Linked DNA regions of Saccharomyces cerevisiae S288C. The gene in region 2 interacts genetically with the main gene of each other region. Each region holds a gene or a part of one and is shown on either strand. Other genes may lie near its edges. The genes, in order: UTR2, CUE3, FPR4 and PAU10.

Region 1 (4,050 bases), on a different chromosome or scaffold from region 2:
ATTTTATGTTGATACTGCATACGATGTAAGGCGTTTGAGAAAGGATCTTATAAATGCTAAGGTTGACTTGCAGGTTGAAAACCTGATAATAATCTGCAATATTAATGATATTTCCACTGTATTTCTCATGAGAGAAGTGGTGGAATGGATCTTACGCAATTTCCATTCAATAACTGTATATGTACAAGATATTTTTAAAAAGTCAACTCAGTTTGCTGTTGGTGACCTCTGCAAAGACAGCAATTGCAGTAAAAACAGAGTAAAGTATTGGTCAAAAGAATTTGTTAAAAAACACGATTCATTCTTTGACTTGATGATTACACTAGGGGGTGATGGAACTGTCCTTTTTGCTTCATCTATATTCACGAAAGATGTTCCGCCGATTGTTCCATTTGCCCTTGGATCATTAGGATTTCTAACAAATTTTGAATTTCAAAATTTCAAAGAAACGTTGAAACATATCTTAACAGATGAGGTTCGTATTAATTTACGAATGAGGTTGCAATGCAAACTCTACCGTAGAAATAAACCAGAAATTGATGCCGCAACTGGGAGAAAAATATGTTACATCGATTTCATCTCCGAACATCACGTATTGAACGAAGTAACCATAGATAGAGGTCCAGCTCCTTGTTTATCCCTATTAGAACTCTATGGAAACGACTCACTAATGACTAAGGTTCAGGGAGATGGATTGATTGTTGCCACGCCTACGGGATCCACGGCATACTCATTGAGTGCAGGAGGCTCTTTAATATCGCCAAGCGTAAATGCCATAGCGGTGACGCCTATATGTCCTCATACTTTGAGCTTTAGGCCTATAATTTTACCAGATAGCATGGAATTAAAAGTTAGAGTAGATATGAACTCAAGAGGGACGTCGTGGGTGAATTTTGACGGAAAAGATAGAGTTGAATTGAAACAGGGTGACTATGTTGTGATAACTGCAAGCCCCTATTCGGTACCGACTATCGAGTCATCTGCCAGTGAATTTTTTGAAAGTATCAGTAAAAATCTTAATTGGAATGACCGCGAAGAGCAGAAGCCATTTGCACATATTCTCTCGCCAAAAAATCAAGAAAAATATAGATTAGACTCATCGAAAAATGGAAACGACACCATAAGTAATCCCCTCGAGAGTTCATGCATAAGCTCAGATGCACAAGATGAGGAGAGGAAATCCGTAACGGAAACAGAAACAGAAATAGTTGTTGAACGGACTCGTCAGGCTCATTTTGCAATCTAACGATTTCCCACATCCTGCGTTTCCGTAGTCAAGGGTTCATAATGGATGATGAGCCTGTAAACAGCTTTGTATTTACCTCTTTTACTTCAAGAATGCTCTTGCGTCGTTTGCAGTGTCGAAGAAGATCCAGTAGAGCTATACAAAATGGAGAAATGAAACAGTTGAACCAGAGCGCCGCATTTGGCAGGTAGTTTCGCTAAATTTCCTCATGCGCGTTTGTAATTATGCTAGTTAACCATATGATAAGGTTGCCTAACTTGCAGTCACCGGAAGGTTATTTCCGGAATGGTGCAGAATAATTTTTAAAATAGTAGCATATATTTCGTTCCAATTCCCAAATAGGGAATTATAATTATGACAGATAAATTCCCGATTAGGAAGAAGCGCGAAAATTCTTGAAAAACTTTTTTCAACCTCGAAGAAAATCGTCGTCCTTCGAAGATTTAGTGGGAATCTTCAAGGTGGATAGTTTCCAAATTAAAACTGCAGAAGAGGCTTTTAAAACATGCCTGAGGTATAAAAAGAACAACATTCCTGGTGATTATGGTTTCTGTTGGACCCTGTTCCCTTTGTAAAACTTCTATTTATTGTCCTGCAAATAAGCTAATTATATAATTAATAATGGCAATCGTTAATAGTTGGCTAATTTGTTTAGTCAGTATTTTTTCCTTCGTGGTACGTGTAGAGGCCGCTACATTTTGCAATGCAACTCAAGCATGTCCCGAAGATAAACCATGTTGCTCACAATATGGTGAATGTGGTACTGGTCAATATTGTCTGAACAACTGTGATGTAAGATATTCGTTTAGTCATGATTCATGTATGCCTGTACCTATCTGCAAGAGTTCATCCACTAAATTCAAAGATTATTCCTCTAAGTTGGGGAATGCTAACACTTTCTTAGGAAATGTTAGTGAGGCTGATTGGTTGTATACTGGTGACGTTTTGGATTATGATGATGAAGAAAGTTTAATTTTGGCGATGCCCAAGAACAGTGGTGGTACCGTTCTTTCCTCCACGAGGGCTGTTTGGTATGGTAAGGTCAGTGCTAGAATAAAGACGTCACATCTTGCTGGTGTGGTCACTGGGTTCATTCTGTATTCCGGCGCAGGTGATGAACTTGATTACGAATTCGTCGGTGCTGATCTAGAAACTGCTCAAACCAATTTCTATTGGGAAAGTGTTTTGAACTACACGAATTCTGCCAATATTTCCACTACTGATACATTTGAAAACTACCATACTTACGAATTAGATTGGCACGAAGATTATGTAACATGGTCCATCGATGGTGTCGTCGGTAGAACCTTGTACAAGAACGAAACTTATAACGCCACCACCCAAAAATATCAATACCCACAAACCCCATCCAAGGTGGATATTTCCATTTGGCCAGGTGGTAATTCTACCAACGCTCCAGGAACCATTGCATGGTCTGGTGGTGAAATTAATTGGGACGCATCCGATATCAGCAACCCAGGATATTATTATGCTATTGTCAATGAAGTTAATATCACATGTTATGATCCACCAAGCGATACCAAGAAGAATGGTACTTCTGCTTATGTGTATACTTCGTCCAGTGAATTTTTGGCCAAAGACATTGCTATTACCGATGATGAGGTCATGATGGACAGTGATGAGGGATCTGGCTTGGACCCACATAAGGGAGCTACCACATCTTCCACCCAAAAGAGTTCTTCCTCAACTGCAACCTCTTCCTCCAAAACGTCATCCGATCACAGCAGTTCAACTAAGAAGAGTAGTAAGACTAGTTCCACCGCTTCATCATCATCATCATCATCTTCTTCTTCTTCTTCTTCTTCCTCTACTGCTACTAAGAACGGAGATAAAGTCGTATCCTCCGTATCCTCTTCCGTCACTTCCCAAACTCAAACAACATCTTCTGTAAGCGGAAGCGCCTCCAGCAGTACAAGCTCAATGAGCGGTAATAACGCAGGTGCCAACGTAGCGGCAAACTGGCGTTTGACTGTTTTATGTGTCATCCTAGGTTATGTCTTATAGGAGGATCTGCATCTAAGAACAAATAGGCTACACAGGACTCTCAAAAAAAAATGTATTAATAAATAAAAGAACTTAAATATAGACTTTTTATTCGCATGCATATAAAAATAATTAATTAATAAATAACTGTAAAAAACTAGAATAATAAAAGTAATAAATATCTCCTCCGACGACATAGCCTATTTGGCAGCCTTTGTCATATAAGTAATTAAATCGTTTCTGTCCTTTTCCTTCTTCAACCCGGCAAACGCCATCTTGGTACCAGGAATATATTTCTTTGGGTTCGTCAAGTACTCGGACATACTATCCTCATCCCATTTGACGTTCTTGTTGATGTTTGCATCTGTGTAAGAATAACCCTTTACCTGACCTGAATGTCTACCAAAAATACCATGTAAATTAGGTCCAACTTTGTTAGGACCACCCTCTTCTATTGTATGACACTGCTGACACCTCGTTTTAAACAATGTAGCACCCTTTTTTGCAGAGCCTGGTTTGAATCCCGTACTTTCTTTAGCCATGTTTTGTTTATGATGTAATGTAGTTTACTGAAGTTTACTTAAAGTAATGTGAATAAATGCTTGTATGTGATCTTCTTGTATAAGTCTTTGATTTTGTTTCAACCTCAACAAAAAGAGAACTATTCTGATCTAATCTTCTCGAGCTTCACAACACGATATATATATATGTTGTGTGCCTTTGTCTTTGCCCCTTGCGGCCACTTATAGTAGTTGGAACTTGAATAAATGCCCTCGCTATTATCGCTATTAGCTTTGAGA
Region 2 (4,608 bases):
GACGAGACTACTTCACAGGCATTCCAAGAACCAAAAGTGGTTGGTTTTATGCTGCCATTACTTTATGCAAAAACGCGTTCTCTGACTGAGCCTAACGAGCTATATAACCAAATTATTCAATCCAAAGAATTTATCCATCCCAATCTTTACAGCGGACTGATAAAAGTCTTCATCAAGGCGGAAGACTACGAAAAGGCATTATCCCTCTTCGGCCAATTATGTGAAAAGGCTGAAGTGAGGAATTACGGTTATTTAATTGAAACGCACTTAAGCTTCATTGGTGATTCCAAGAATTTAACGTTGGCAGAAAGTTTCTTTGACAAAATTATCAACGATGAAATGCCATACAAGATTATTTTACAAGTCTCTACAGTGAACTCTTTTTTGCAGAATATATGGAAAGCACAGAACGATTTTGATCATGTTTATAGAATATGGGAAAAGGCTGTAAAATTTTATGGTAACACTGTTAATCCTGGAATTTTGTCCTCACTAAACAACACTTTTTTCACAATATTCTTCGAAAACTATATTAATGACAATATCAATGGTTTCCGTAAGCTTCAAGAAATCATAACGTTTTACAGTGGGGTCAAAAAAATTGATGAACCATTTTTTAACGTTATGTTAACTAGAGCATCTATCTGGCACGAACGCAGCATAATCGATTTTATCGATAAAAACTATACTTTGTACCATATTCCAAGAACTATTATATCATATAGAATACTACTGAAATCATTGGGAAGCATAGACAACACGAATAATGAAGAGATTCTGGATAGATGGCTGGAGTTGGTCAAGAAACTGAATGAATTGGGCCAACAATATATAGCCAATGCTGATCTGTCCGCTTTGAGGGATGCCACTGTCGTATGGTCACAATCAAAGAGGGATGAAAAGGTCTTTTCTGCAAAAGCTAAAGGAACACCAGCAACGACTACGACCACAGAAGACGACATAAAAGTTCCGAAGCCATTGGAAAATTTGAAAAATGAGGATTCTACTTCGAATTCAGAAGACAGAATAGAGCTGTACTTGAAAATATTAAAAAGATATACGCCCTACTTTCGCGCTACCAAGCAAGTATATAGGTATACCACTGGATGCGCAGAGTCATACCCAATATTAAATGAGTATCTGAGCGGTTATTCTGACTTGAGTGCCGAGGACATTCCTGTTCCTCAACTACATAGCTTTATTGCTAAGGAGCAATAGTACTAGCGCATTCATTCTCCCCATCTCAATTTATGCATGCTTGTAAATAAACATTTAAACGTATAATATATAAGATCGAATCTTCTATGATCAAGAAATGTGTATATTTTTTTCCCTCATGTAATCAGCGATTTTTTCCCTCTAGAAAAATAAAAATGAAAAGGATAGGCATAAGACTATATAAAAGCGGTCTATAATTATCATTAACATCATCCAGGAAATTTGCACCAGCAAACAACAACAAATATTTAAGTACATAGTATGGGGCTTTGCGGAAGTAAAACCCAACCAATGCCTTCACAAACTACGACGGTGGCAACTAAAGCAAGAACAAAACCAATTAATCGTGATACAGTCAAGTCAAAGCAAGAACTTCGACATAAAGAGAAGAAAGATAAAAAGAAGAAGACACAACTAAAGAGTACAACTGTCCCGGTTGTGCAAAGGAAAGAAGGCAGCAAATTAACTGATACAAGTGATCCGAGCAAAAATAAAGTTAGCCCAAAGGAGGCCGCAAGGTTAGCTGCTGAGAAGAGATTTCAAGAGACGAATGAAAAGTACAATAAGGGCGAGTTAGGCAAAAAGCTAGCTCAAGAGCGTGCCAAGTCTCATAAGACTCGCTTAATGGAAGAGGCCGAGAAAAAGCATGCTGAGAGGGAAAGGGAAAACATGATTTATGACTGAGAGAACGACGGCAGTAATATTGTAATGAATCAATATATGCAATTGTACAAGAATTTTTTTGTTGGCCTTCCATTCTCCTCTTGGCTTTGTAACGTTTATATACCTGAATATCTGCCAATGGATTTTGCGCGGCCATAGAAAAAATGAAAATATAAAACACTAGTTCTCATAAATGAGAGACATTCGAGTTAACTATTGAATCTTGGAAATTTTTATAGGATAGAATCACTAAGAATAATGTTATCAAGGTACAACCGCGTTATTGAAATAAATGGGGGTAATGCAGATATTTCTCTGCCCATTGTCAAATTTCCACCGTTTAAACTCAGAGCTCAATTAATTGAAAAGGACCCCGTAGTATGGCTGCATCTAATAGAAACCTATGTAACGTATTTTGAGTATTTGATGCAAGGTGCTAACGTTGAATTATTAGATGAATCTACACTTGATCATCTTCGTTTATTTTTGAGAACTTACTTGCATGAAATTGCTGATGAGGAAGGAAAGTTATTAAGTCTCGGTATCAACCATGATGTGTCTGAACAGTTATATTTACTAAAAGGCTGGATATTTTCATTGATCAAGAAATGCGGGTTATTACATCTTCAGATTTTTGGTGACTCCCTGTGGAATTTGATCAAAGTATATGTTAGACGTAATCCAGATTCTATTCGTGGTTTGATCGATGGCTCATTGAAACCACGGATCAACACGCAACGTGTACAATTGGACAAATCGTACCAAGTTCAACAGCATTTGAAGCAGTTAATAGAATCTGGAAAATTTAAAAGAATAGATTTAAGGTGCGTTGAAGATCTGCTGTCTGCCAAATCCATGCAGCCAAATAAGTTTGCGGAGAACTTCTTTACGGCAAATTGGATTGAAATTTTAGAGGCATTATGGGCAAAGGGACAGGGCCGGGGTCATAAAGAGGCTAGAGAATTGATCATTATCAGTTTATTTTCTGTTTCTGCTGATCGTTTACTAAAAATAACTAAAGAATTAGGCATAAGCAATTTTGAAACTTTGGCGTTATATCCTCTTTTAGGAACAATGCTCATAAATGAAGGAGTCCACAAAAGGCTTCCTGATTTGAAGAGCAAGTTACTATTTCTGAATTTAGGGGGGTTGTCAATGGACGAAGGAGACCATATGAGCTATCCAACATCATCAGGTACTGAAGTTAATGAAGAACAACTGTCCGCGTTGATGGAATTGTTCCCCCAGTTTTCTAAATATCAATTATCTCAAACGTTGCTTGCCTATGATAATAACATTGAATTAGTAACGAATAAAATATTTGAGGATCCTACCATTATCGAAGCATTCTCCAGAGAACCTGCGGAGGAAGAAGTAGAGCCGGTGTCAGATGGTGATAATGCATCCTTTACTGAAGAACTGAGTATATTGGATAGAGGAGATAGCTCAAAAAATAAAGAGCTAGACAAAAAGATTATCTCGGAGGGTGTTCCGGATGAATTAAGAAATAAAACTTTGACAAGAGCATTGAAACTTTTATACGAGGCTGATGAAGATGAAAGGGATGACACTTATGATGAAGCCGATGTGAACCGGTCCGATCCTTCGAAAAGAATTGGACTTCAAGAAGACGAAGAAAGCTATGATACAAAAGATGATTCTAATGAAGTGCGACAAGATCATAACTATCATATTGTTGAAGCTTACTTGTGGAATCTATTGAAAGAGGATCCGAAATTATTTGAGAGATCAAAAAGAGGTACAAAAGTCAGGAAAACTATGAAAGAAATGACTTCATGGTCGGATGAAAAAATCGAAGGTTGGTGTCGGATGTTAGAAAGATCTCCTACCCGAGCAAGACTTTTAGAAAAGAAGTTTATGTTCAAAGGAAATAGCAAAACAGGGAAAACGTCTTATGTTCATAATCGTGATAGCCAAAATGATGGAAATGTCGTCAAAGAACAAGCCAAACAAAAAAAATCTGAAAATATTAAGAAACATGAACCTCAATCTACTGAACAGAAGAAAAGACAGCATGCTAAGAATGAAAAAAGGAAAGGGGCTAGAGCTAACCATAACCGTAAGAAGGGGCACGATAAAAAATTGGCTCGTGCGGGAAATAACGCTATTTGATAAAATGCATCAGCATACAAGATAGACAAGCGTATGTAAGTTTACTAGACGGTATACAATTATGTAACGTATTATAAGTTATTCAGCGTCGCGTTCAGGAAGTGCTTTTTTTAATAATTTTTCCCGCCGACTAGTAAAACTTTGCCTTCAATTAGCGTCCTTTACTATTAAATTTTGCTTTTCTTACTGGCTTTAGAAGCAGCTACCTTTCCCTCCAATTTATTCCAAAGCTCATCTGCGTCTTCTTCAAGTTCTGTAACCTTCCTTTTTTGCTTCCCTTTGGCAGCTTTCGCACTTGGACTTAGTGGCATCTCGATTTCAACGTCATCCAGCATAACAATAAAATTTATACGGGACCCAACATAAACCTTCACCAGCATTTTGTTAGTTTTTATATCGAAGATCCGAACATACCTATCTAAACCACCTTGTAAAAGATATTTGCCGTCATGTACATGAATATAGGTTGACGAACCAGTGATATCATCTCTACCCACCTTGCCCAACATTCTTCCATTACCATCGAATTTAAAAACATTCTTTTTGTAGTCAGTAGTAATCACATTCAGTTCATTAAAGGTTTCAGATTGAAAA
Region 3 (3,788 bases), on a different chromosome or scaffold from region 2:
TTCAAGCAAAATCTCATTTAGGTTTGACTACTTTCTTGAACTTGGAAGAGAAGCAAATATATTCAACGAAATGACTGCCCAACAAGTATGTGTAAAGATGAGTAAATTGAAGGATGTGATGGTTATGGAGATGGCACACGTGCCTAGAGGAAAATAGTTACCCAAGAACAAAAGCAGGAAGGGAGCTAACCTTTTAAATATGAACTGGACAAAACTGGACAAAATGAAAATAACGATTTTAGTAAAAATGAAAATATAGCATCAAATGACTGAGAAACATAGTAACAATAACTCATATTATAGCTAATCTGAGTAAACTTCTTCCTACGCTAAGAATTTTTTTGAGGATAGTACCAAACCTTGTGCTGAATCAGCACACGCCATGCCCACCATCAATTGTGCAAGAAAAAAGTAAACGAGTAGTATACTAACTATATATGTGATTTACATCACGATATGTCAATTATAGGCCCCAAAGTGGTATCCTTCCGAAGACGTTGCTGCCCCAAAGAAAACCAGAAAGGCTGTTCGCCCACAAAAGTTGCGTGCCTCTCTAGTTCCAGGCACTGTTTTGATCTTGCTAGCTGGCCGTTTCAGAGGTAAGAGAGTTGTCTACTTGAAACATCTAGAAGACAACACTCTATTGGTCACTGGTCCATTCAAGGTCAATGGTGTTCCATTGAGAAGAGTCAACGCTCGTTATGTCATTGCTACCTCTACCAAAGTCTCCGTGGAAGGTGTCAACGTTGAAAAATTCAACGTTGAATACTTTGCCAAGGAAAAATTGACCAAGAAGGAAAAGAAGGAAGCTAACTTGTTCCCAGAACAACAAACTAAGGAAATCAAGACTGAACGTGTTGAAGATCAAAAGGTTGTTGACAAGGCTTTGTTGGCTGAAATCAAGAAGACCCCATTGTTGAAGCAATATTTGTCCGCTTCTTTCTCTTTGAAGAACGGTGACAAGCCACACCTATTGAAATTCTAAATTGAACTGAAAAAATTATAAATGATTTAAAATAGAATTTCAAAACAAGGAGAATTGATAGAGAATGCGTTGATCTGAAAATACTGTTTGACAATAACGGAAAGGTAAGTGGATATGTAATCTAAGTTTAATCCTCTTCTAATTCATTTTTCCTATCAACATTATCTGTGCTTTTCTATATCCTTCTTTTTGTATCTATAATTTTTTTTTTCTCTTACATAGCAAAATACAAAAAATCATAAATATTAATATCTAAGGGTTCAAGATCAGGTCATCGCCGTTCTGGGCCACTAGGCTATATCTATTCATTTACATTGGAAGCTGCATGGTCTACTCCAACCGCACTGAGGCAAAGTCTCTGTGGAGGAAATGCTGTCCTAGCGAGCCATTGCAATAGGTATAATCAGAGTCGTCCTCCCAATGTGTTAACTTCTCTCAAAACCACCATATAAATTCTGTAACCTGCCAGCGATAATGTTATATATGTAAAAGGTAAACATACAACCCAATTTGTCCATACTAAGTGGATGCTGGGGAAGCAACTACAGTGCAGATGCTAAAGTTTGCTGCGGCAAATAATCTCAACATTTTTGTGATTAAACCTGCCTCAGTGGGGTGTATGATTAGTGCGTTGATATTTAATACACGCGTAAAAGTTAAGTCTGTTGTACGTTTTATTTCGAGTGACGAAAGAACTACGAATAACTTCCTGCATACTGTTGCCTTTTTCTGTATTTACGTATACTTTTATATCAAATAGCTTGGCCAAAAGAAAGTAGCATTGTGTATCAAGTCATAATTCTAATTCTTAGTTTAACTTCAGCAAAAATAATATTCTTCGTCAGACATTCTCATACAATCATTAACCCATATGAACGTTAAATTTCTCAATTTCTTGCCTTCGATGCCCTATGTATATTTTTATCTCAAACCCGAGGCAGTGAAAATTTTAGCTGGTGCATCGAAAAGAGAAGGGCATTGAAAATTTTACAGTGTTAAAAGAAGTGCTTTTCATGTTAGAATGATAAGAAAAAAGAAAAAGACAACAAAATATACGTCTCTACCATGTCTGATATGCTTCCATTGGCTACGTATAGCCTGAATGTTGAACCATACTCCCCAACCCCAGCTCTGAACTTCAAAATTCCGGTTACCATTAGAATCACAATGGCGGCCATCGACCCTGAGCCCTTTGACGATGACAAAAAGCCATCTACTTTAAGAATAATCAAAAGGAATCCTGAACTCACTCGCGGTGAGTACTACAACCAAGATAACAATGACGGCCTCGAAGAGGATGAAAGTGAAAGTGAACAAGAAGCAGATGTACCAAAAAGGAGTGTCAAATCAAAAAAAGGTAAGGCAGTCGAGCAAAGTGAATCAGAAGACTCTGAAGATGAAAACGAAATCGACGATGAATTCGAAGAATGCGTTCTTTTAACCTTATCTCCAAAAGGCCAATATCAACAAGCTTTGGATATTACCATTGCACCAGAGGAAGACGTTCAATTCGTCGTTACCGGTTCATACACTATCTCTCTAACCGGTAACTACGTCAAACATCCATTCGACAATTCTTCAGATTCAGACGAAGATGAAGAAGACTATTACAGTGACGAAGAATCTTCCAATGGAGAAGAAGAAGAAGAAGAAGAAGAAGAGGACGATGAGGAACTAAGTTCCGGTGATGACGATCTTGATGATTTAGTAGATGCTAGTGACATCGAAAGTCGTCTTGATGAATTAGTCAAAAAGGACGAAAAGAAGAAAAACAACAAGAAGGACAGTAAAAGGAAACATGAGGAAGATGAGGAAGAAAGTGCTAAACCTGCCGAGAAAAAACAAACGACCAAGAAAGACAAGAAAGCAGAGAAAGTTAAAGACTCGGAAGAGAGCAAACCAAAGCCAAAGACGAAGCTACTGGAAGGCGGTATTATCATTGAAGACCGCGTCACAGGAAAAGGCCCACATGCCAAAAAGGGTACCAGAGTTGGAATGAGATATGTTGGTAAGTTGAAGAACGGGAAAGTTTTTGACAAGAATACAAAGGGTAAGCCTTTTGTTTTTAAGTTGGGCCAAGGCGAAGTAATTAAAGGATGGGACATCGGTGTTGCTGGTATGGCGGTCGGTGGTGAGCGTAGAATTGTCATTCCTGCTCCATATGCCTACGGTAAACAAGCTTTGCCCGGTATTCCTGCTAACTCTGAATTGACATTTGATGTTAAATTGGTCTCCATGAAATAGGGTCCTTAATGCATACGTATTGATATATGTATCTATAATACTATATACAATTATCTATACTTCCATTACTAATATTATCTTTCAATTTTACATGTTTTTTTCTGCCATAAAAAAGCAATATTTTTTTGCGAGCTATTTAGTGATATAGCCGCCCAGCTACTTGTCGATGCATATATTGGCTGAGAGTACTAATACAATTATCGGAAGACCTCAAAGTAAAATATAGAAGCTTTGAGTAAAAGGAGCTCGAGTTTTAAAAATGACTTCGTAATATGTAAAGTTTATGTCATATATACTTACACGATAAATAGACCATTGATCGTTAGAGACGAGCGCATTGTTTTGTTGAATCCCTTTCAACAGCGCGACAAAAGTTAATCGAGAACAATAAGATGTTGCATTCAAGGGTTAGTCAAACATATCAGAAGGCCGTTTTCTAAATCACCTCAAGAACCTACCACACAGATACATCTTGAAGAGGTGGAGTACCAAAGGGAATATTTTGTACGAGCAAGTTATAGTAAGACACTTCAGTGAGAAATTAATCTGACTTACTTTT
Region 4 (3,225 bases), on a different chromosome or scaffold from region 2:
AAAATTAACGTATTATCGATTCTGTCGTTTTACACACTTTACTGTTAATTTTCTTTTCTGCATCGCGTTACCTACTCTTTACCATAATAGTCAAAATGTACGATCGCATGCATGTTCGCTGCGGCACCCAAAATAGATAGAGTGGATTACAATTTAGGCTATAGAACATAAACAAAAAGTATATGCAAATAAAAGAGGCTTGAACAAATCAAGAAAGAAGGAGGGCAAGAAAGTCTTTTGTGTGAATTTTTACAGTCCATTTATTGTAACTTAGAAATCAAATTGTGCGACTGGCCATTGTTGCTGTATTTAATAATGTCGTATAACACTCTAAGATTCCGTAATGATTCAAAAGCAGAAATTCGTTGGCTCTAGAGTCTTAAACAACTTACGCAACTACATATATTCATGATTCAAACAGAATGTACCTTTAAAGGTTAGAAATACGACCTCTAATCTGCTTTAAGCAGATGATGCAAGTGCCTTCATGTGGTTAATATATGTGCTATCGTATTAAAAAAAGTTTCCCTTCTCACGTGTCAATAAAGCATCACGAAAACATTCAATACTAGTGTTTTTCGCACAGAAACTTGCCAAATAGGCACCTTTATGCAGCACAATAATTAAAAATGCCCAACGTGACACATTCCAAGGTAATTTTGAAAAATCGTAAGCGCCATTCGTGAAACAGAATAGTGTTACACCCGTGAGAGTAATAGCGAAGTCAACTTAAGCAGATATTGCTACTTTAATCCGCTTATGCTGAATCCATATTCATCTTTTATCAGCTTTGGACGAGAAATTAGTTGTCTTTTAGGCAATGTTCGTGAGTAAGTTGGAGAAAAGATCTGTTTCAAAAGAGTCAACTTGAAGTAATGTCTCAAAAAAAAAAATGATAGTATTGCTTGCTCAAGTGCTAATTATATCTTTTCCTTGACAAAAGTACAAGTTATGCGTCTCCATCGGAAGTATTTTAAGTAGAAATATTAGGTACCAAAAGAAGTAAAAAATTAAAGCTATTCTTATTGGGTCACACTGACTTAAAAATTAAAGGAAAATATTTAATTGCATGTTATTTTGTTTAACTACTATCTTACTTCCACTGGTCCACCGGACCCTCAGGCTTCCTTGCCTTGTGGAACCAGTTTTTTTCTATCGAGAGGAAATTCTCCAGTCTAGTGATATTCCATATGAGAATGGAACACAGGTAAGCAAGGCAGTGGTGCTGATTAATGCGTTGAGAGTGCCAACAGAAAGAACAGAAGCTTGTTTGGGCAGGATATGTACAAGAATGAGGAATTTTTCTTTAACAGGGCTAATTTTGTAGTTTTCTTTTGAGCGATACTTAAATAGCATTTTAGATTCAGAAAAAATGCGTTGCCTAGTTATTGAGCATTAAACTGCGCCCATAAATTCAGGAGGCACTACCAACCCCTGCCACAGAATATTTACTAGGTATAAGTGTTTAACAGTTGCAAGAACCAAGCACATAGATGAAATTATTCAACAGAAGATTCAAAACGTAAAATAAAAAATATTAGCGCCATCCACTGGCCTCTGTACTCTTTTCTTTTCTTTCTTTTTTTTTTTTAACAAGAAAAATGGTACCCGGGTATCGAAGATGTTTCATTACACAAAACCTTGGCACATGATTCAATTCACCCTAACATCAATTAACTCTATTCGAGAAACATGTGCAGCTAACTGTAGCTACCTCGTTTATATATCGCATTCATTCTTGATTGTGGTATCTAATTTCGAATGCCTTAGTGATAGTGAACGGCATCGTAAGCTTCCACGGGTAGGTACGACTCTCAGTACATCATTGCTATTTCACTTCAGCTTGGGAAAAGAAACTGTAACATTATCCCGCGGCAATCGTTTAGAGCATACTAATATAGGCTAAGACAATAGCTTCCGAACGAGGGTCCTTGAAAAAGAAATATGACAGGCACGTAAAAGGGTTCTTCGAAGGCACATGGCGCCCCTATAACGTCGATCTTACATTGCACGCATACGAATACACATTGGCGCCGCAAAACATATCTTCATATACGAAGTTTGTGACGAATTCACGAATCGTTCAAGGACAGGTGCATTTCTATAGTTACGGTGGATAAGGTGTGTTAGATGAAATATGTAGGATCTTGAGGTGAGAAAAGAGTGTCAGTCAGTGGCTCGTTTGGGCAGCACCAGCTGGTGAAGGAATTTGTATAAATAGAGCAGACTTGACCGCCTGTCTTTGTGAATATGCAGTCATTTTTTTCTTCCTAGTAGGGCTTATATCAGCACTAAAAAACAAAACAAATACAATGGTCAAATTAACTTCAATCGCCGCTGGTGTCGCTGCCATCGCTGCTACTGCTTCCGCAACCACCACTCTAGCTCAATCTGACGAAAGAGTCAACTTGGTTGAATTGGGTGTCTACGTCTCTGATATCAGAGCTCACTTGGCCCAATACTACATGTTCCAAGCCGCCCACCCAACGGAAACCTACCCAGTTGAAGTTGCTGAAGCCGTTTTCAACTACGGTGACTTCACCACCATGTTGACTGGTATTGCCCCAGACCAAGTGACCAGAATGATCACCGGTGTTCCATGGTACTCCAGCAGATTAAAGCCAGCCATCTCCAGTGCTCTATCCAAGGTCGGTATCTACACTATCGCAAACTAGAGACAAACGCCAATTTTACGAACGGGTTTCCATAGACATTGAAAATGAACGAACAAAATAAAATAAATAAAAAACTACTTTTTTTTGATGATATAAATACCGTAGATTATATAAATGTATATTAATATTATAAACCTATTTGATCAATGACAGTGTTCGTGAAGCATTTTATGAATACGATGAACATAAGAAAGAAACTTTTACACTATTGTAGAAAAAGCGTGGACGGTAATAAAGCTAACAGAGTATTTCCAATAAACAATAATGAAATTGGAAACGTATGACTTCGCAGCACTTTGTCTTTCCATAAAAATGTGTCGCTGCTTCTTTTTTCATTTTTTGGCGCGTCGCGTCGGGCCGTATAGAATATGCGTCACTTCTAAGAACAAGACTGCAGATCAGGGCAGTGCGAGTTACAAGTCATGGTACCAAACTCTCATTTGGAGATCCTCATTTTTTGACACCTAAAATATTAAGATTTATGGTTTGGGATAGTTTTTTGTAACTGTAACTAGAAATAAAGCTGAGGGGTTAGTGTTCTACCAAAACT

The links.
Region 1: mutations in CUE3 (region 2) and UTR2 together harm fitness more than expected from each alone (negative genetic interaction), as found in Saccharomyces cerevisiae (2 studies listed by BioGRID).
Region 3: mutations in CUE3 (region 2) and FPR4 together harm fitness more than expected from each alone (negative genetic interaction), as found in Saccharomyces cerevisiae (2 studies listed by BioGRID).
Region 4: mutations in CUE3 (region 2) and PAU10 together harm fitness more than expected from each alone (negative genetic interaction), as found in Saccharomyces cerevisiae (2 studies listed by BioGRID).

The regions. Positions count from the first base shown.
Region 1 is NC_001137.3:76,186-80,235, forward strand, and holds UTR2 (chitin transglycosylase UTR2), read left to right. Parts: upstream 1-1,867; coding exon 1,868-3,271; downstream 3,272-4,050. Other genes in the region: YEF1 (NADH/NAD(+) kinase), read left to right, coding at 1-1,246; CYC7 (cytochrome c), read right to left, coding at 3,451-3,792. UniProt on the Saccharomyces cerevisiae protein: Dual chitinase/transglycosylase that plays a role in cell wall architecture. Chitinase and transglycosylase activities are coupled. Required for the polysaccharide cross-linking at the septa and the cell wall.
Region 2 is NC_001139.9:300,943-305,550, reverse strand, and holds CUE3 (Cue3p), read left to right. Parts: upstream 1-2,139; coding exon 2,140-4,014; downstream 4,015-4,608. Other genes in the region: RMD9 (Rmd9p), read left to right, coding at 1-1,218; YGL108C (uncharacterized protein), read left to right, coding at 1,480-1,902; ribosome biosynthesis protein NSA1, read right to left, coding at 4,182-4,608. UniProt on the Saccharomyces cerevisiae protein: Involved in activation of the ribosome quality control (RQC) pathway, a pathway that degrades nascent peptide chains during problematic translation.
Region 3 is NC_001144.5:1,028,784-1,032,571, forward strand, and holds FPR4 (peptidylprolyl isomerase FPR4), read left to right. Parts: upstream 1-2,050; coding exon 2,051-3,229; downstream 3,230-3,788. Other genes in the region: 60S ribosomal protein eL6 RPL6B, read left to right, coding at 71-85, 470-985. UniProt on the Saccharomyces cerevisiae protein: PPIase that acts as a histone chaperone. Histone proline isomerase that increases the rate of cis-trans isomerization at 'Pro-17' (H3P16), 'Pro-31' (H3P30) and 'Pro-39 (H3P38) on the histone H3 N-terminal tail.
Region 4 is NC_001136.10:1,520,937-1,524,161, forward strand, and holds PAU10 (seripauperin PAU10), read left to right. Parts: upstream 1-2,312; coding exon 2,313-2,675; downstream 2,676-3,225.